3 linked regions of the Drosophila melanogaster genome follow. The protein of the gene in region 2 interacts with the protein of the main gene of each other region in a biochemical or structural test. Each region holds a gene or a part of one and is shown on either strand. Other genes may lie near its edges.

Region 1 (6,039 bases), about 10 Mb from region 2:
GTTTTGCCCCTTTCCCAGAGTATCGATTTCAACTGCTGCACAGATAGTAAAAGTGGCTCCTCTGGTCTGGTGAAGATTCACAAGCGGGAGCGAAGCTCACCAACGGCGCCGGAATCCTCCAGCCAGGTGACCAAAAAGCGATACAAGTTGGTGGAGAACATCAAGGTGGAGCCAAGTAGTTCGCAGGCTAAGGAGGCACCCGAGGAAAGGGCCGCGTTTCTCCGGGAGGTGAGATACCTTCGAGACTTCTTCCATACTACTACTACTACTACTAATTAATTTACCTTGAATTGCAGCTACGCAGCCTGGTCACCCAAGATCAATTCCGCCGCTTTGGCAAGGCGCTGCTGGAGTACAAGAATGGCACCTATGAGAGCTTTCAGGCCCTGATGGCCATACTCCTGGATGTCCTGTCCGCACCCAAAGTGCGCTACATGCTCGTCGGGATGCGGAAGTATCTAAAGAACGAGCACAAGGACGAGTTTGATCGTAGGGTGGGCAATCTTTAACAAAGGGTTAGGTGACTATGTAAAAGAGTTTTCAAGTTTAGTCGTCCCAAGGATATGTTATTTTTTTTTTTTCAAATTTATTGACATTGGCTGTAATTTTCTGATTGTATTTAGTGGGGCGCGTCTAATTCTCCTAAGAATATATATTATTAACAATGCTATGCATTGTTGTACATGCATTTTGAATTTCTCTGTACGGATGTTTATTACTATTAAAAATTATACGTTAATCATGATATTGTTTATAGCTTTGTGGGAAAATGTGGGGTCATATTAAATGCAAATGCAGTTACTCAAAACCGTTTGCATTATGTGCATTATGTTTTCCCAATCTGTTTATTTATTTACCGCTCAAGGTTGACTTAAATCAACAGTCTACCTTTATTGGAAATTTAATACCACTTTTATGTGCATCAAACTTCGATTTCGTTTGCTGATAAGCTGATGAGCTTTAATAAGCTTTCAATCAAATCAAAGGCGAATAGAACAGGGTGCTCGAAAACTCTTCAAATCTTACATATCGTATTTAAATATGAACTCAATTTGTATAATAATATATATATATGTACAATATATGTTTATTTTATATATTTTTAAGCATGATAAATAGATAAGATATCATAGGAAATTGACTAATGCTAAGACTTTTAAGTTCTTGTCTTAAAAACATAAAATTACTTTTTTGTAGACTGCTTACATATATGTTTTTCACATTTATTTTTTAATCTACCGCTTGGGGGGCATACATTTTAGAGTTGGCAGCCCGCTTGGTAACAAATCTGCGAACCGCAGCCAGCGCAGAACGCATCCAATAAGTTCATTGCCAAACGGGCCGAGTCCCTATATGCACATCCACACATGCCCATCGGCTGGCGCGACCGAGTCACCGAGAAAACTGAGCCCGAGTGCAACGAGAATGCGGGTCCGAGTGGCTCCGACTTCGGACTTGGGAAGGCACTCGCGTGGCAACAATCGTCCAGGGCGCACGGCAAACACGCAGAGCTGCCGGAGGAGATAGGCCGCTGCTTCTTGGGGGCCACATTCGTACCCCGATCCAAATCCAGACCCGCTGATCCATCCGCCTCATAAATACACACATAATTTCTGCCGCTTTGATTGGGGCACGCAGTAAGTTGATTGCAATTGCAATTGCCATAGCCTTTGACTTGCTGCACGTTCGCTCTTCGCTGCTCGCTATTTGCAACAAGTAATAATGAGGGCGGGCAGGGGGTGGCTGGGTGTTTGGCCAACGCAGCGACCTTGGCCTGGTTTAGGCACTTGCCTTAAATGCATTTTGTCGTCATTGCAGCGCACATGGTGGAGGAGATTGGCTGCCAGAGACAGACGGGCATTGTGGTCGCCATGCCCAGCCAGGTGGCATCCAACACCGGAACTCCAGCCCCATCCGCCGGCGGCATTCACCAGCAGCATCAGCAGCAGCAACACCAGCAGCACCAGCAGCAGCAACACCAGCAGCAGCAGCACCAGCAACACCAGCAGCAACAGCAGCAGCAACACCAACATCAGCAGCAGCAACAGCAACACCTTCAGCAGCAGCAACACCACCAGCTGCAGCAGCAACAGCAGCAGCAGCAGCATCAACAACTCGCCAGCAACATGAGCCTGCTGACCGTCAAAGGCGGCCGTTACCTTTGGACCGACCGGGAGCTGTTGATGCACCTCCAGAACTACACTCCCCTGATCCTTCTCATCGATTTCGTGGAGAAGACCCGAACCAAGCGCTTCTATGAGAGCTCCGAGCGCTATGAGATACTCATGCTGGTCTTCATCATGCGCAAGGGAGCGCCGTTTTGTGAGAACAAGCGCTTTCCAGCGGAGTACTGGGTTAATCTATCGGTGGGACCAATTGCCGAGGCGTTTGACCGTCTGCAGGCGGCCATCGATATACCGGATCCCCAGCTGCCGATCCACATGAGCGTTACAGATTTGACCAGCTGGAAGCAAATGTTCGACCTGGCCATGCTGGATATACGGCGTTTTGCGTACTACACCGATCCCTTGCAGCTGGCCGATGCGGGCGTCTTTAACCGGATCACCTTTGAGCAGCGATTCGGAATGCAGTGGCAGGAGTAATGGGAATTGATGCACGTTACTGGATATATATTCACGGGAAACAGCATGTAAGCACACCATCAGCACCAACACACTTTCCCAAATTGGGATGGATCGTGGGGAAGGCTACTGCATAAATCCGAACGAAAGCATTTAGTTAAGTATTAATAGGACGCACTAGAGCGCAACCGATCCATCCAATCCCACATAGACAGAGTTATTTGTTGCGTTAATGTCCCTGCATAGCGAAATCTACTGTGCCTTCTCCAAAAACTCCAGATCCTTCTGCATTCCTTTCCCTCCAATCCGTCAACTTCATCTCTCCTCCGACTCCTCAAATGTATCTGTAATACAAGCGACGTGTAGGACCCAAAATGCTTTAATGGAAATAAACGTTAGTTACTGTTCAAACGCCTGCCTATTTATCTTTGTAAAATAGCGATAAATCATTCACAACACGCATTACTCACTATAAAAATAGCACTATGTACACTATGAAACTACACCTATGTTCCTAATGCGAATTCAACGAGATCCTCGACAGTCCCATTCTTAGGGATCGGATCATCCAGCCTCATGGCTGCCGCTTAGGAGCGCGATCCCGGTCAAAGATGCCCAGCAGTTTCCCACGAGTCATCTCCATTGCCTCACGCAGTCCCAGCTGGTAAATTTCATCATGCATTGACTTTATTTTATCGATCAGATCCTCGGGAGGGAGCTGGGCTAGTTCTGGAATAGAAAAGTAGGTAATGGATATGCTATTCTTTAATATACTATTCTTAAATCTCATTGACTTTGCAGCTACTTACCATTAATCTTAACCATATCATCATCGGTCAGATTGCTGGTGTAGTTGGTGCTGCGCGTGTACATCGGCGTGTCGCTCATGGAGAGGAACTCGTCCATTCCGGGAACTGGAGCAATCGAAAATAAAGATATGCGTTAAAAATGGCGCCAATTTCTTCGTGCTCACGTTTTCTACACTTACAACGCTCTGGCCATTGGACAGGTGAGGGTCGCAGAGTTTCCATGGAGATGAGCTCGTCTTCCGGCGTTATGGGCCGCTCCTTGACCTCCGGGACATCCTTTTCGGCCAATAACGTACTACTGCTGGACGCTGAAGCCTTCTCCACTTCCTCGTCCGCCGCTTTTAGAATGGTTTCTGCAAGAAAACCTCGTTTTATGGCGCCTTTCATGTGATTTAAATATTTACTCACCTGTAGAAAGCAAATCCGTAGTTGTCTCTGCGTTGCTCATCGCGGATAATGTTGAAAAACTCCAAAAACTATTGAAAATAAACACGGAAAGATGCCAAAAAATCCGTGGGCTAATCACTTGCCACCTCGTTAAACAAAAACTATAGCGTTGCCACTTTCAACAATCACTATCGAATACTATCGATTTACCGCCAAGCCAGTGCTAGAAAGCACCAGGAAGTATAAAACAACTGATATTTTTGGTAAACAAAGAACTGTTGTTATTGCTTTTCCTGGTTTTATTAATAGAAGTTAAAAATAAATGGCACAACAATTAGGAAATGAGCGTGCCTCGACTTATACTAAATTCAGAGTGGAGAGCAGGCGTCGTAGCAGAGAAACGCGAACCTCTCCGCGACCTCTATCGTGCTCTCTTTTCCACTCACGGTCGTTTAACGGCGCATAGAGACAACTCTGCGCTAGGTCGCCTGCTCTCGTTCGCTCTGGCGCGCAAACGGCACTTGGCACACTTCGCACAGTGGCGCCAAAAAATATGTGCCCGTAAAAAGCACATGTGCTGCGCAGTAGTTGTCCAGAACAACACAACACGGATGTCTAACCAGTTATTGAAATAAACTTATTCAAGAACATCTTAATAATAATATAAAATCTTAAGGAATAACAATATCTTATCAAGTTTTTATCAATTGGCGCCGCCGCCTGGTAGCACTGTTCGCATACGCAGACTTTTGGCCACCACTGTTTTCCCATGCGCCCTCGCACTTTCTTTCGGTTTTTCATTCGCTGCTCCGCTCTCACTCAGTCAACAAGCACTCATACACACGCGCTCACCTGTTCCGCCGCCCCGCTACCCCGTCTCTCGACATTACTGCGACCGCTCCCGTTCCGTTTCATTATTTTTTTTGTCGCTGTCATTCAGTTGCCGTTTTAACTTCGCCGCGCGAGAAGCGGAAACTTTTGCCAGTCCGCTCGAGGAAAATAGAAAAATACTGCAGTGCTGCTGCAGTCGTGCAGCTCGTACATTTCGTTTCGTTTCGTTTGGCGCCAATTTCAAAGCGCAAATCCGCTGGCGGATTGAATTGCACCAAAGTTGTTCTTGGATCTCTACGTTTGCATCCATCCATCTAACCAAGCAACCGGCTACCACCCCTCCACTCCTGACAGTGACCCCTCGCTGACCCTCCATCCCCCCCTCCGCTCGACGACTCTCATGGCAGCTAGCAAATTCCATTGCGGCAAGCAATTGACAGCCACACATTCACATTTCGATGCGACATGTGCGAAAATCAGGGCCTTTTACTTTGACCTGGACAACACGTTGATTCCCACCAGAGCCGGCGATTCCAAGGCGATCAGAAAGGTGAGCTTTGTTAACCAAGCCAAGGCAGACAGCCTCACTGCCCCCTCTGCCAATCACCAATCCGTTGGCGTTTCTTCCGTTTCTTTTCCATGTAGTGTTTGTGGGGGGGCGGGGCGGGGGAGGTGAAAGTGCGCAGCAGGCGGGCGACCCAGCTAGAAAATTTTCCACTGCAGCCCGCCCGTTGTTACGTAGTCGAAAAAACCCGGACGCTCGGCAGATAGCACGCGCCCGAAATTTCGATTGTTTATTTGCGTTCCGATTGATTTCCTTTCCCTTCCCTTCACATCCCCCAGCCACAAAAAAAAAAAAAACAAAAAAGAAAAACTCAGAGTGCACTCGACAAGGTCTTAACTTAAATATAACCACGGGTACATGCACTTTAGAAGGCTAAAACCCACTAAATAATCGGCATTACGTTGGAAATTCGGAATCTTCGGTTTTCGAAATGTTAAAAGGCACTTTACAGGATCTTATCGTGGTGCGCATTATCGATTGCAAACGATTGCAAAAAGGTCGGAAATCGAGGAACTTGCACTTAACAAAAGTTGAACGAAACGTCATACCAACAAACTTTGGAAACCCGCGTCAATGGTTTCTTTTGAAATATAACCTTCTTATAAAGTGAATGGCACACAAAGAAGCTAAAGGTTAATTGATGATAATAGGTAGCACTTCGCAATATGTACTTGTTTGAACGTTCAGAGGCCATTGACTTTATTTATTACAATAAATGAGTCTATTTGCGATCTTAAAAGGTTAAAGTTTTTAGAATTTTCCCTTCAAGAGAGAAAGGTATAAATAGGTATTCTTGAAAATGTGTTCAATGTCACGTACATTTACTCACTCTTGCATTCCAGATTATATCGTTATCTTTTAAGCT
Region 2 (8,818 bases):
TGTGCACATGCATATATATATATATATATATATATATATGCGAATGTGTTTATGCCCAAATTGTAGACACTAAAATAAGGTAAAAACAGCAAGGATTATGAATGCGTACACTCGACAGTACGGATATTACATCAATGCTATTGGTCTGCTATGGTAAACTTATTGAATTTTTCTCAATTTTATATCAATGCCTTTGTACACACACATACGCATATGCATATATGCATATGTACGTATGTATGTGCTTGTGTAGTTGGTATTGGATAAAAAAAAAGCACTTTCGCGTTTGATTTTTTTTTCCCGTGCGCTAAGTTTTCAGCTTCGATTGTTGGCATAATCAGCAGTCAGAAAAGATTTTATCTACAATATACCTATGATTCACTTTGGTTTGCTTTTCAACATTTATCTTGGTCCGAGATGACACAATTTTTAATTTTCCTATAACGACACGATGGTAAATACTTATACATACTCAATTTTTGCATTTACAAAATCGGTGTGACCAGCGTGCGAGTGACGTGAACAGCCAATTCGAGGCGTTCTCCACTGGTCGGTATATTTTCGCATTGCACAGGTTGTGCATTCAAACAGCTGATAAAAACAACACCCTTCATTGTTTATTTTAAACCAATTGGGGTAATTTAATTAGCCTAATTATGTTAAATAAATGTTTTATAAATTGTGTAGTGATCAATTCAAAAATAAACAACATTTAAAATAATTAATATATTTGGTAATTGTCACTCACTCTGGTCACACACCAAGACCGTCTATCATGTCGTGCGCAAAGCCGCATATTTTGATTATTGAACCGTTTTACGGGGGCAGTCACAAACAGCTGATCGGCGCACTGATCGAGGGTACACATATATACATACTTAGAATATTACAACTAGACATACAAACTTCACTCCAACTTATCATCCAATTTGTAGGTCTCAACCATGGCGACAGCGAGATATTCAGCCTTCCCGCCAAGAAATGGCACTGGCGAGCACGCACCTCTGCCCTCCACTTCGCCCAGCTGATTCCGCGCGATCACGCATTCCGGGTGCTTTTCGCCAGCTCCGTGCTCAGCCTGGCCGAGCTGATTGGTCTGCGTCCGGATCTGGCCGCTTGCCGGAAGATCGTCTACTTCCACGAGAACCAGCTGATCTATCCGGTGCGCGAGGTGAAGCAGCGCGATTGTCAATACGGTTTCAATGAGATACTCTCCTGGTAGGTGACCATCCTGTATACCCAACTTGCATCCATAACCCATCCATTTTCAGTCTTGCCGCAGACATGGTGCTCTTCAATTCCCAATTCAACTGCAACTCGTTTTTGGATAATGTTCAGCCCTTTCTGAATATGCAGCCAGACTTTAAAATCAAGCATATTCGCGAGCAAATCGAGAAGAAATGCCAAGTGCTGTACTTTCCCGTCAATTTCGAACGGTTTCCCATTCGGAAGGAGTGCGTAAAGGGGGAGACTGCTGAGGATCTGGATGAGAAGTGCATCCATCTTATTTGGCCACATCGCTGGGAGCACGATAAGAATCCCAAACTACTGGTGGATACGCTCTGTCAGCTCCATGAGCGACAAGTGGACTTCAAGGTGACTATTTGTGGCGAGAGTTACCAGGAGATACCGGAGGAATTCGAGCATATACAGGAGAAACTGGGCAGCAAGCTGGTGAACTTTGGCCATCTGGAGCGTGAAGAGTACTTGAAGACCCTGCTGACTGGGGACATTGTGATATCAACTGCCGACCATGAGTTTTTTGGAGTAGCAATGCTGGAGGCCGCTTTCTGCGGCTGTTATCCCATTGCGCCCAACAAATTGGTCTACCCGGAAATCTACCCAAAGGAAAACCTCTACAACACCTCCAATGCGCTGACGAAGAAGCTCTACAACTTTTGTAGAATGCCGAGGGTCTTTCGCAAGCAGCGCGATCAATTCTTTGAGAACTTTAATTTCGATCGTTTTTCGGCGAAAGAACTAGTGCCAAAATATCTGGACATATTCAATAAACATATTGCAGACGAACAAAGTTAGAAATCGAAGGTTTGGCAAATGTCTATCAAAATATTCTCTGTAATATAATAGATATATTTTTGAATAAATATATCTCTCTTCTGTAACCTACAAAGCCAAAAAAAAACGATATATATATGTAAGTCCTTTGTGTTAAAACACGCTTCATTCACTTTAAGCATTTATTTATTTATGAAATATCCGAAAAAAATGGGATACAATTTAAGGTGGATGTAACCAATAATGCCATAAATGTAGCACAATAAATTCTATTTCGAAAACACAATTTGGATGAAAATTTGGGGATTCATATCTACAATATTATAAAGATGATGCGTATAGAATTTTGTTTGTAATACCTGAATATAGCCACATAGAATTTAGAGCGAACCAAAGCGGTCGAACGAATTCACCAAACACTTTTGTTTCTCGAAGTTCAGGGAGCGCGAAATACAGGACAGATTTTTGAGGCACGCATAAGCCTGCTCCTCCATAAACATTTGATCTCTGGACTTGCCACAAGCGACGCGTGCCCACTTGGGATCAATGACATGATCGTAGGTCAAGCCACCGCGGTACTTGTTAATTCTGCGATTATGGAATGGTCGATTCTCCTTTCTGCCCTCGTCGAACGGCAGGTCCTGTTCGCTGCACAGCGTGTCCTTCAAAATATCGCCCGGCGATGTGAGAAACTTGCTGGGCGTCTCGGTTTCGAAGGGTTGAATCCTCTTGGCGGAGCCAGCGTTGTATGGATGATTGGAGCTCCAAGTTGAGAGCAATGACTTCCTGGCACGTTTCATATGCGGCGGCGACTGAGCATTGTATTCGGTGCTTAGCGTTGAGTTCTGATCGGCGGCGCCCATCATTTTGGAATTGTTTGCGGTCAGCGAGTTGCTCAGATGCTCTTCATGGATGATTTCGGCCAGATCCTCCACCAGACTGGATGGGCTGGAGGGCTCGTATCGACGACCGTCCCTCTTCTTGCCGATGGCAGCAAGTGCCTTTTTGAAGGGCGTTGGTGTTCGTGGTCCAAGTTGACCTACAAATAACGATGATTGTGTGTATTCAAGATGCATTTGAAGCCAACAGTGGCTTGTACTTACTCTTGTGTGGAGTTTCTATCGACGATGTCTCCATTTCCTTTTTGATCTCCATTCCAACGCGATTATAGACCTTGGTTACCGGCGTGCTAGCCCGCAGATCCATATCTTCAAAGGTGGTCAGGCAAGGCGACTTGAGGAAGTGACTCGGTGAAAAGGGTAGCGACTTAATGGGCGATATGACGGGCGAACTCGGTGGTCGCGACCTGGCGTTTCCGGCGGCTTCTTCCTGGTTGAATGTCTCACTTGATGAACATCCTGCCTGATGGTGAGTTTCGGGAATGTGTTTGCGTGTACGCTTCAATATGATCGGTGTTTGGCGCGGCATGGTCAACTTAATGAGATGCTGCATACTGAGGTGTGCCAGATTGGATCCCTTTTGATGATCGTCTTGTGATTCCTGTGCCAGATCACCACCTTTCACGGCAGTAACCGAAGCGCCATCGGCGTTTTCGGATTTATTAACTGCCTCACCACCAGATTCCTTGTTATGTTGCATATTATTCATACACTTGCTGATGCCACCGGACTTGATCAGCGTGATGAGATGGGTTCGCGAACTCTTCAAATCGCTACCAGATGCATTAACCGATCTGCGTTCGACGTCATATTTGCGACGCATTGTTGAATTCCAATGGTTTTTAATGGCGTTATCGGTGCGTCCGGGCAGACGTTTGGCAATCTTTGCCCACTGGTTGCCCAGCTCCAAGTGAGCCTGGTAGATAATCTCGTCCTCCTTTTCGGTCCAGGCCGTTTTCTTGATATTCGGATTGAGGTGGTTGTGCCATCTCTCGCGGCACTGTTTCCCAATTCGTCCGTTCAGATATCGTGCAATTAGTGTCCATTTCTTGGGCCCGAAGTTGCGCACCAGCTTAATAACCATGTCGTCCTCGTCCCGCGTCCACGGGCCCTTGATTAGCTCCGGATTGAGGACTTTGGCCCAACGCTGCTGCACTTGCTGTTCCAGGCGATCCTTGAAATGCGGTCCGATAATCTCCCAGTTCTCACCGTGCGTCTCCACCAGCTGCTTGAGCAACACATCCTCGGACTTGGACCAGCGTTTGCCGAATCCATAGTTCGGATGCACTGCACCGATGCTAGTTTTACCGCTTTTGTTCTGTCCCTTTTGCCCCGTCGTCTTGGAGTCCTGTAGTTCGGGCGAGTCCAGTGGATAGCCCGAATCGGCATTGCTGTTCTGTTGTGAATCCTTGTCGCAAACTTGGGTATCCTCGTTCTCCGAGTACTCGGACTCCTCCGAATCCGAATTGCTGCCGTAATTCATCAGCTCCTCGCCGTTTTCAGTGCTCGCACTTGCCATCTTAAGATCAACTTTATAGGTATATATATATGAATAATGGCGCTCTTTGTATATATGTGTATGGGTTCTTTAACGCTGCTTGCGGGGCGAACAAAAGTGATAGATCTCCGGCTCTGACTTGTTCCCACGCTGGAAACGATGAACGTCGCGTTTGCAGTACAAGCACTTGGGCAAATGATCCAGAATATGCGGATGGTAGAATATGTAGTGCGAGCAAATGTCGCTGTACGAGTTACACTTGAATTGATTTCCGCACGTCAGGCAGTCGACCAGTTCACGTTGATGATCGCTGCGCAATATTGGGTGCGTCGCATCGCTCTCGGTCCGCCCAAAATCGAATAGTTTTGTTTGCTGCTCCTCGAGGCGATTTTGGTTTGGATTCGTGTTCTTTGTTACTTGAAGATTACAGATATTTGTGGACATACTCATTCAGGCAGCGAACTAAAAAGCAGATGCAAGTTTTACGATATTACGTTTATGCCAAACATTTTGATGCTCTATATTTAGCACTGAGGAAAACGGGGGAAAAAAATTACCACTCGCACATTTGTCTTCATCTAAAGTGGTGCTACCGTTATTTCAAATTCAAACTGCTGGGCTATGGGTACACACTTTGGTGTTTTTGATCAGTTCATTCACGTTTTCACACTGGAATTTTACGGCGTCGCATCTTATTATATTAAATGTAGTACTTAGTGTGACCGTTACACGAGCACTAGCGTTGTAATTCAAAACGATTAAAATCTATCGATAAATAATCACTACGGTAATCGGCACGTTTCCACTAGAAGTCAATATCTTGTACGATAGCTGGGATAGTATCGATATTTAGCTATCAACTTCTTGGAAATATTGTTAAAAAGTTGCCATCGGATAAAATAATTTTGTCAGAATTGCCAAATTTAGTTGTCAGTAGCATTTATAGGGACTGAAAAATATATTTATAAAACTATTAACTTCACCTATACATTTAAGATATTTCCATTGAACGCATCACTTCAACGTTAATTGCTATGTTTCTTTAGTTTTCAATTGAAATGCAGTTTTTTATTTTGTAAAATACTATAAAATTAAAAATTTTTCCAAGGAGGGGTTAAAGCTTAACATCTCCTGGATTTAAAACTTGACGTATATTAATATTAATACGTGAATCGTCCATATATCTCGAAAAAGGCTCCCAAAATTGAGGGTTGCCAACATCATGAAATAAATCTTTATCAATTGTACGCGTTTTAATATCTGCATTATCGACATCTTCAATTATCAGTGATAAAGTCGCGGAAGCCTGAGTTTTGATGATACGAGGAACTGCGTGATAGCATAGACGCGATTCTCCGGACATTATCATAACGTCCCCGGATTGAAGGTAGATAGCGGTTGGCTTTTCTTCTAAAGATCTTCCACCAATTAGAAATATTGCAGTCTGACCAAAACTGTAAGCATAAAATTAAAAAAAAATTAGCTGCACGGATATGTTTAATCCGTGATATATTACCTAAAAGAAAACAAAGGGGCCGATTTGTTTGGTTCAGAGTGATCTGTGTGACCCGATAACGTACTACCAACTGGATAGTAATTTACAATTGCGGCTTCTGGCTTAAAATCCGCGTATCCCAACGCTTGCGCAAACAATCCGCATAGACTGCTCAAATCTTCGGGAAACGGCGACTGCATCTCCTCATCATAGATCTTCGTGTCCCAGTTGTGATGATATCCAAATGTCGTCCAACGCATCGCGGATTTTATACGTTGGAACTCAACGCCATCGCTGCACAGATTAAGCTGTTTCCACCAGTCCGACCTGACGGATTCATCGAAGAGCCTTTCATTTAAATTGACTATATTTGGCGTTCGCGGAAAATCCCGCAGACATCGGGCGCTCCAATAACGCCGGCCTCGTTCCGAGAATGGATTCCGAATCACAATAATGCCGGGATGGTTAGTTAATGTATAGGTTCGCCAATCTTTTGGCGATTTAACGCCTGGCATTGTCTGTAGGCTTTCTACATTGCTGATACTTAATCGTTGAACAATATTCTGAGGGGAATGTAGAAATCATAATTCAATTGCAACGGATCGAGTACTTACATTATCACTCTTTTCTTGATCATTCCCCTTGACTACACAATCATCGATCTTAACAACTTCCGTTAAATCAGGACTGGTACTTTTGCACTTGTACTGCTTAAAAACTAGCTTGAACATGCTTCATAAACAATAAGTACAATATAAACAATAAGTTAATATAAACGATAGCAATAGTGTGACTGCGTTTGGAGAAATCTTAAATGCTTTTGAGCACGTTTAGAAATCAGACATGTGGTGGAAATACTATGGGATAGATATAAAAATTAAAAATGAATGCAATTCATAAGAGACATTGCCGAAAAAGCTCGAATGTCCTTTTCATGGAAAAAATTTTAAGCCTTTTTTCATGAGGTGATTCATTTGTGATTAATCTTATCGATATAAAGTTATCGATATATGAACGGGACTTTTAACTATTTTGAAATATTTTTGTTGTTTTGAGACCGATTTTTTCATTGTTTACGTTTTTGCAGTGATCGTTTTCATTATTTCGGTCGAAGATACGTCTTAAGGGTTGCACAGGAAAAAATCAAGTGGGAACATTACACTTCAGAGCGATAATAGATCTTTATTTTTTATATTTTTATGAATTAATATTAAAAAAGGAGTTGAAATAAGAAAATGGTATATTTATATGACATATTTATATATTTATATATGTTGTAGTTATTTTACTTTCATGTGAGGGGGCGTGCTTAATACTATATTCGGTTCAAAAGAAAGGGGTACCACATTGTTTATATAAAATAAAATATGTTTTTAAAATATAACGTCTTTTGACAAATAAACTTTGAATAAATAAAGACAAGTTGGTATATTTGCCGGCTCTCTCCGTCCGCAGTGTGAACAGCCTGGCTGCCGAATATGTATCAATGCTATCGATATCCGCATACATCGATACTGCTTCCTTGCACCCTTAATTTGTTTCTAGGTGTTGGCTGCCAATTGTAGAGTGCAAATGAAAAGTTACAGATTGGTGGCTTCGTTAACAAAATTTTCAGTTATTTGTGTAGTTGAAGACGGGAATTTGTTTTGCGTATAAAAAGTTAACACTGCGTGTAAGTAACGTATTGTCGTCATCAACAAACTGTCCAGTGAATGAAAATTGAAAGAAAAATTACTGATCTATGGTAATGTGTGTGTATGTGCTAAAAGGAAAAAAAAATTTTTCATACTCGCTGAACGACGAGTGATGAAAATGCAGTCTCGATAGTTTTGCGCCTACATATATGTATGACTATTGCACAGATTTGGTTGTTTTTTTTTTCTAAACGATTGCCAGTCGGCATGGAAAATTAAATGAAATGAGCTCCATATATTTTGTGCCTGTGCCAGTGCCTTCCCAACGAAAAATGTTCAACGTTTAAAATTGATTATTTTTTTTTTATCTATTTCCCTCCTGCTCTTTGTCATGTGTACGCTTACGCGGTTGCTGCGCGTGCGAATGGGACACCGATTGCCGCGACTGTTTTTGTCTCACCGCCCGCTTTCGGGAACTTCTGACCTGCTTTCGCTGCCGCGCTTTCAATTGCGCACGGCTCGCATCCACTAGTCGTGCTCCTTGCTCCAATCGAAAGGGCCACTTGCGCCGCGGTGGTGGTGCAAAACTTGCAATTTTGGTGTACAAAAAAAGCAAAAGGAATATATCCCATATATCCTACCCATCTATCGGAAGAACGGAATTCGAAATCCAGCACATAAAAAGCATAAATCACATCAAAAAATTCGCATTTTCTCTGGTCCTTAGCACCAGATCGCTTTTTATGCATCCAATTCGGTTTCCTCTTTTTTTTTAGTATACCATCCCATCCGCGAGATAACATTCTGTATTAAACAAAACGCCCAACATCCTAATTACAAATCAGACGGGACGGAAAATCGAAAAAACTATAGGAACCTCTCTCTCCCCCCCCACTAACGTAGTTTATGTGTATTTAACAAGCGAAGAACTTTCTGCAGAGGTCTGAAATACACCAATCGCACATACCAAACAAAAAGTAATAAAAAAGAAATAATTGAAAAACCAAATAGTTAAATTGGCAGAGCAAACACAGGACGACGACTATGAACTAAAGTCAGAAATTAATGGACATCGTACCGAGAATATAATCCGTGAATAGTACTATACGATAAAACAGAAAAAGAAAAAAAGTCAACTAAAAAGCAAAAAACCAACTCTTGCAGAACACAGTTCATGATTTATCCATACTAGAAGTGCACAAAATAAACGCCGTATGCAAGCGTGATCATCCAAGGCTCATTATCCGACTAAGCTACTGGCCAGCTTAAAAAAAGT
Region 3 (6,906 bases), on a different chromosome or scaffold from region 2:
ATCTGCTTACATCTGCTGTCTGTTGCCGTAGGATGGTAGGAAATCAGACAGACTCGCTTCTCAGGACTTATGCAGCTTATAAAACTTTGCCCTCTGCATTTCCCCTCCACTGACAGAAACGCTCTACTTTTAAAGTGGCGTCAGTTCGGTTTCCCTTTGCCACGGCCGCCCGACTGCACCATTTTTGTTGCTGTGCGTTATAATCCGCTTTTTGTGATCGGATTATGTCCTGTGTAGCACCTAATCCCCGCACAGGAGTGCGACCAGCGTACACATGTTGCCAACGAGCACCACTTCCACATCTACACCTACAACTACACCACTCCCATTCCCTTTTTCAGTTCCAATCCGATTCCATCCATCCGCACTGATCCCGCAGTCGCAGTCAACTTTAATTACGCACTGGACGTCGATGGATGGATTAGGGCGGCCTTACGCCCACCGACTGCCCGGAAAAGCAATTAAAATGTGTATATCCTGGATAAACAGGAGAACGTCCCTAAATGGAACCACCTTTCAAGTTATAAAGCTGTTAACATTTTAGAAAAAAACATGTTTTCATGGTTTGTTCCAATTAAACGTTATTAACAATAAGTTCGGAACTGAGAGAGTTTATAAAATGTACATCAACCAAGATGGTTTTTCTCCTAAAAATAACAAAAAGCTATTAATATAAGATTAAAAGTTTATAACAGGTACAAAGAACAGTAGACAGTAAAACAAATATACATATAATCTTTTTTAAAATTTTTTTTCCGAACTCGAAAATAAAACACTAGTAACGAGAATAGACTAGAGCGACCTCTCTTGTTCACTTCAAAAATATGTTGAATATCTATTTTGACATTGAGCGTACTAAATCAGAAAATCTTTAATGCACATATTGGCTTTGACACAATTACCTAGTTTAGAGTATAGAGTATTATTTCTAATCCTAAATTCGTTCAATCGGATCACAAAGGGGATGGTTGACTATAGATGCCATAAAATCCCAGCATTTTAAAATCCCGATGTCTGCATTAATGCCAGGTAGTTCGAGTAAAGTGAAAAGAGAGTCATTTTCCAAGATCTACCCGCCCTTATTTCAGGGTAATCAAGTTAATTAGAAACTTTACTTTTTTGTGCATTTAACGACTTTTATTTTTGGGGGCTGGGGTTTCCTAGCACCGGCGTCTGGCCATCGGCACTTTGCCTTCTCCTCGTTTTGCTTTGCTTGCATATTCTCATCAAATTAAAGTTAATTGTACATCATTAAAGGCGGATTCTAAGAATTCGTTTCGGGTCTCGTCGGTATCTAACACAAAATGGCGTCGTACGATTTTGGGTTTTCATTTATTCCGATGTCAAGCAATTTAATTACAACCTGTCGCATGCATGGGGTAACACACAAAGACATGACTTCATGAATATGTATGTACGACAAGCGTTCGTACATACGTATTTATGGGAGTATTAAATATGGCCTCATGGAGGGTAGGAAAATGCATTTAGGTGCAGTGTTTTTGAGATGACATATGGATGCCCGCCAGCGGCAACCTCCCCATCAGCTGTCACTTTTAATGCCGAAACCCGCCATTTTGACAGGAGCTACAAATGAATAGGTTTCTCTTTTCAGTTAAGCTTCAGTGATTTTGAGTGTTTTACCGAATCGGAAGTATAAAGGTAAAAAAGAAAGTCTCCACAAAAGCAGACCTTGTGTTTATGAATGTATAAAACCTTTCAAGCTAATTTTAATTAAAAACAAATTAATAATCATTTGAGTTTAATATGAGCAGAGGTATCATTGTTTACTATATATAGGAAAAAATTATCCGTGAATTTTAAGTCTTCTCTCTTTATTGAGAAATTCTTATTATGTTTTTCGCCCATAAAAGTTACTTAACGACATCATGTATTCCATGTATTCATGAGTAGGTACAGTTAGTTTTGTGAAGTCATGCATAAATTAGAATAATTTACTCGATGAAAAGGAAAAAAATGCCGTCAAGAGAAGAATTAGCATTCAAATCTAAAGGAAATCTAAAGGATCGCATAATTCTTACTGGATCATAAATAATTCTTTGATAATTCTTTTCATATTAATTATTTAACTATTCCGTGCTTGGCAGTTTCTTAAGTCAGATTGTTTTGTAGTTATGTACATGCATGTATGAAAATCTTTAACAGGATTAATAATCTAAAAGCTATTCCTTTGAAATCCCCATCATCATCCATTCTGAACTCCACACCTTGCCTCGGCGAAGTACTTTCCACTTGATAGTTTGCCCGCATCAGAAATGGGCATTAAGTGATCTGGAGGGGATTCAGGCGGGGGGGGGGGGGGGACTGGGCATGGAGTCTGGGGGTCTTAAGTGCCCCCAACGACCACAGCAAACACAACCGTTTGCATGATTGAGGGACGGATTGAATGAGTGCATGTCATTCCCAATCCCTGGTTGGGGTTCAAGAGAGAGTGGCCACTCCAAAAGGCCCACTCTAGGCGAACATTTATTTGCACGGTTGCAGGAGAAGTTTGAGTCTTTCATACAGTCAGGCTTCCGTAACTAGAAGTATCACATGCCGCATAGAAAGTTAGAGCTCGAATTTTTAATTACATACATGAAAACGTGTTTGTTTTATTTAGCACACATAATAAAATATCGTGACCAATTAGTGTCATCTAAAGCGGTTATCATTTGTGAAAAACATTAATTTTGTTTTATTGTAATCACAAGCCGTTGATTTTAATTCATAATGTTAGTGTTAAATGAAACTTTCAAATTGCCCAATTTACGTTGAAAATAAGGTAGTTATATTCTGTATGTCCCAAAATTATATTGGAAGTTCAGTTAAGGCAAGTTATCTGGCTGTACAGTAAGTAACTAATACAATGAAAATAAACAAAAAGGTGTAAAAGCAATTCAATAATTCTTTAGATTGAAGTAGTTAAAATATTATAGTATTTTTTTATTTTTCAGGACAATTATGTTCAAGCTTTCCACTAGGATGATCTACTTGGGTTCCACTGTAGCTTAAAGAGCAGCTCAAGCACGACGGAGAGCAAACAAAACACAGTAGAGAGCACACACACAACCACACACACTCTATTGCCGCTCATCTGGAGAGTGGCAGCTGCATGTTGCAGCTGATCTGCAATTGCAAGAGAGGGAGACCATCTTGACTTAGCCCTTCCACGTAAGTGAAAGCGAGGTAGCGACTGTCTAGAAACAGCTTGTTTTGCTCGCACTCATAGGGGAATCGAGAACCATCGGCACGAGACCCTAACTCACTACACAGTAAAAAAAAAAATTCTCAATCAGTAAGCTAATAATTAATGTTTAATTTGTACCTTTTTTAATTTAATTAAATTCTTGCATTAAGTTGGTATATTATTTTTCATTTTTTCATATAACAACTTAAAAATTTGTATATTAGAACTAATTTTAAAGTTGATTCAACGTTCGATAACATCACATTTCTTACATCTTAACTGGTATATCCAAGATTAAAACTGCATAGTCATATTAATTTTAAAATAATAGAAAACTATATATACACATATACTGTAAAATAGAGCAAAGTGCACGCCGTTTTTCTCACTGTAAGATCTCGGACTGGGCCGTGAAAGTGAAACACAACAACACTTGCCATTGCGCGCTGTTTGTTTGGTTGTGTGAATACGCTGCTTTGTTTGCCTTGGCCTGGGAAAAAGATAACAAACGCTTTTTGCACGAGACTCGATTCGAAACGCTTGATAAGGAGGACGCAGCACGAGCGCATCAAAATCCAACCAAAACAAAAGTTTACACTGAGCAGACTGCGCAGAGCAGGGGAATATGTGTATTGAGCCGGCTGTTTGTTATCAGCCGCAAGAGCACGTGTGATTAGGCGGCTTTAGCTAACCTCAACTTGGCGTTAGCTTATAGGTAACGAACGCGTGATACGGACTAGCAACATACCCTTTTCTCGGCACTGTCGCAGGGGTTGCTCAGACTCAGCGAAGAGGAGCTCAATGACGAGGTTGTGGGCGCACCGCTGGCCGTGTTTGGTGTGCTCATCTGGGGCAGGGCATCCGTGGGCACGGCATCCAGCTGCTCCTGCTTGATCCCGGCGATAAGCGGCAGGAAGTCGTTCTTTAGCTGCTCCAAATCCATATCCATGTTGGCGAAGTCCTGCGATTTAACCGCGTAGGCGGTTGCTGGCGATCGTTGAAATTAAAACGTGGGCGTGCTAATTATAGCAACTGATTTTTGGTTGACTGACCGACCGACCGAATGTTTCCCTAAAGGCTGTCGCCTTGAAACGGCATGACTATTGCGATTATGTTGCGGTATTATTGTTTTGGAATTAGTTGGGTAGTTAATCCATTCCAATGCTTACACGCACGCACACGCACAAACACACACAGGGCGCGCGCACCAATACACAGGAACTACACGAGAGCAGGCAAAAACAACGATTTGTGCTTGTATGGATGTTCACAAACGATTTTTCGCTGATTCTTAAAGTTTTGTTCGTAGTTGACTCCTCTTCAATTGGGTGGCTAATGCATTTTAATTTCACCTTCGACTTCTGGCTTGCAAAAATATTGGGTTCTCCCTCTCTCTTTCGCACAGAGCGACACAACTTTCGTTTTACTTATACACGACGTTCGCTCGAATTTCGCTGCTATTTTTCGGTCTGGCCGTCGATTTTTCCAGCGATTCGTGCCGCATTTCGTCCATACGCGGCTGCTATTCTTTATTCGCGCTGCGAGCGCGCTCTTAGTGCGGTTTTATTGGCGTAATTCGCTGCGAAAACACACGGTCTCACGGCGTTTGCTCTCGTTGGACGCTTCTTCTGTACAAAAAATGTTCAGCCATTTTGGATTCAATTAATTCATGTCGGCGTTGCCAGTACGACGGCATTTCGAGGGCTGTTACGCACGGCCGTGGAAACGTAAGCAGCTGAGGTCACACTAAACACGCGATCTGGCAATACCACAATTGAATTCGCCGTTCATTTCGTAAAAAATCATATTAATGTTGTAATACATGGTCAAGATGCCATTTATTTACAATTTAAAACTAATAACTTAGCCTGGTATTAAAAGGTTATAGTAAAATATAACATAATTTTTAAAATAAACTTGTAACGTCTTCGTTCTGTTAAGTCATAACGTTACGTAAAGCTTTGAACATTTTTCTCCACACAGCTAATTTAAAACTTAAGTAAATCAAAAGTAGCATTTCGGAAACTCAACTTAATTATTGAGCTAATTCAAAGAACGCGATTTTCGAAAAAAACATATTTGTATTAGCCAAACAGAGCTGTTAAATAAAACAGCTGATCCGTAACAGAGCAAGAAGAAGAAGCACAACCACACGTGTGTGAATTCCTCCACTTTAAATCCAGAATTGTTTACTTAATGTTTTTAAGACGACTTTTAAACGACTACACCAAGGCAGGTTAATTATTAGTGATCACACCTCCAATTCGAGAATTTATAATAATTAATTTTCTTACAATAGTTCGCCTGAAAACCCTTTGCAATCCCTGGAATCGCCACAAATCCTTCGCCGCAGCGATGTCAGAGGCTCTAGATAAACTGGAGGTGGAGAAGGAAGCCAGGAAAGAGGCCAAAGAACTGGAGGGCGAAGCCGTGAAGGACGCCAACCGCATCAAGAGAACACTTAAACGCAAGAAATGGGTCGATTGGAAGGAGCAGGACGAGAAGGATGCCGCCAACGGCGTGAAGCGAGCGCCGTTCGATCCCGCCGACCGGATCAAGCGCAAGAAGAGCGCCATCCTGCTTAGCTACTGCGGTGCGAACTACTATGGTATGCAGCGCAATCCCGGCATGCAGACCATCGAGGAGGAGCTCTTCAAAGCCATGCTAAAGCACAAGTGGATTACAGAGGACAGCTTTGAGCAGATTCAGATTTCCTGTTTCCAAAGAGCGGCCAGGACCGACAAGGGCGTCTCCGCCGCCCGCCAGGTGTGCTCCGTCAAGCTGCGTTAGTTTACTTATTCTATTTTACAAGACAATACTAAACCTATTCCTTCCTGCAGCTGAGGAGCTGGACCTGGAGGCCTTCAATGCCGATCTGCCGCAACAGATCCGTCTGTTTGGCGTAGAACGCGTGACTAAGGGCTTCAATGCCAAGGATCAATGCAATGCTCGGACCTACACCTACACACTGCCCACCGTGGCCTTTGCTCCGTTTGAGGAAAAGGTCGACGACGTGCACGACACCTTCCGGATTTCACCAGAGCTGCTGCAGAAGGTTAAAGAAACCCTGAAGCTCTACGAGGGCACGAAGAACTTCCACAACTTCACCAGCAAGAAGTAAATAAGCCAGGTTTATACTTCATTTCTGCTCCAACTAATATTTTGTTTACTACCCTTGTAGAAGCTTTCTGGATCCTTCGTCCAAGCGCTTCATCATGTCCTTTACGAGCAGCGAGCCATTCCGGAGTCCCCAGGACATCGAATTTGTCACACTTAAGGTTAAGGGTCAGAGCTTTATGCTGCACCAGATTCGCAAGATGGTGGGTCTAGCCATTGCCATTGTAAGGGGGAACACGACGGCGGCCACTTTAGAGCGGGCACTGACGGAGGAGCGTCTGGACCTGCCGATGGCCCCTGGACTGGGCCTCGTGCTGGACACAGTGCACTACGAGCGCTACAACGATCGCTACGGCAAGGACGGCATCCACAATCCGCTGACATGGCAGGCGCAGGAGGCGCAAGTCCAGGAGTTTATCGAGAGGGAGATCTTTAGCCAGATCTATAAGACGGAAGCCGAGCAGCGTAACATGCTCGACTGGATAGGAACATTGCATTATCACTCGTACGACACGCGGACGGAGGACGCGCCTCCACCTTCCTCCGAAGACAAGAAGGTTAAAGGTGGTGATGACGACAATGACGAATAAGATAGATTT

What was found. Proteins that work in one complex are often made in the same cells at the same time.
Region 1: the proteins of Myb (region 2) and lin-52 form a complex in vitro, tested with the Drosophila melanogaster proteins (one study listed by BioGRID).
Region 3: the proteins of Myb (region 2) and bon form a complex in vitro, tested with the Drosophila melanogaster proteins (one study listed by BioGRID).

The regions. Positions count from the first base shown.
Region 1 is NC_004354.4:5,751,046-5,757,084, forward strand, and holds lin-52 (lin-52), read right to left. Parts: upstream 3,914-6,039; 5' UTR 3,840-3,913; coding exon 3,800-3,839; intron 3,745-3,799; coding exon 3,571-3,744; intron 3,497-3,570; coding exon 3,392-3,496; intron 3,312-3,391; coding exon 3,157-3,311; 3' UTR 2,604-3,156; downstream 1-2,603. Other genes in the region: Rtel1 (regulator of telomere elongation helicase 1), read left to right, coding at 19-228, 297-509; CG15772 (uncharacterized protein), read left to right, coding at 1,824-2,603; CG15771 (uncharacterized protein), read left to right, coding at 5,010-5,159.
Region 2 is NC_004354.4:15,852,671-15,861,488, forward strand, and holds Myb (Myb oncogene-like), read right to left. Parts: upstream 5,154-8,818; 5' UTR 5,007-5,153; exon of another isoform or gene 4,944-5,006; 5' UTR 4,858-4,943; coding exon of another isoform or gene 4,504-4,857; 5' UTR 4,435-4,503; coding exon 3,120-4,434; intron 3,056-3,119; coding exon 2,397-3,055; 3' UTR 2,162-2,396; downstream 1-2,161. Other genes in the region: CG15914 (uncharacterized protein), read left to right, coding at 776-860, 936-1,218, 1,272-2,037; CG46440 (uncharacterized protein), read right to left, coding at 4,504-4,857; AlkB, read right to left, coding at 5,528-5,867, 5,930-6,471, 6,523-6,639. UniProt on the Drosophila melanogaster protein: DNA-binding protein that specifically recognizes the sequence 5'-YAAC[GT]G-3'. Component of the DREAM complex, a multiprotein complex that can both act as a transcription activator or repressor depending on the context.
Region 3 is NT_033777.3:20,591,077-20,597,982, reverse strand, and holds the start of bon (bonus), read right to left. Parts: upstream 4,845-6,906; 5' UTR 4,140-4,844; coding exon 3,939-4,139; intron 1-3,938. Other genes in the region: Pus1 (pseudouridine synthase 1), read left to right, coding at 5,387-5,426, 5,490-5,975, 6,031-6,307, 6,372-6,897.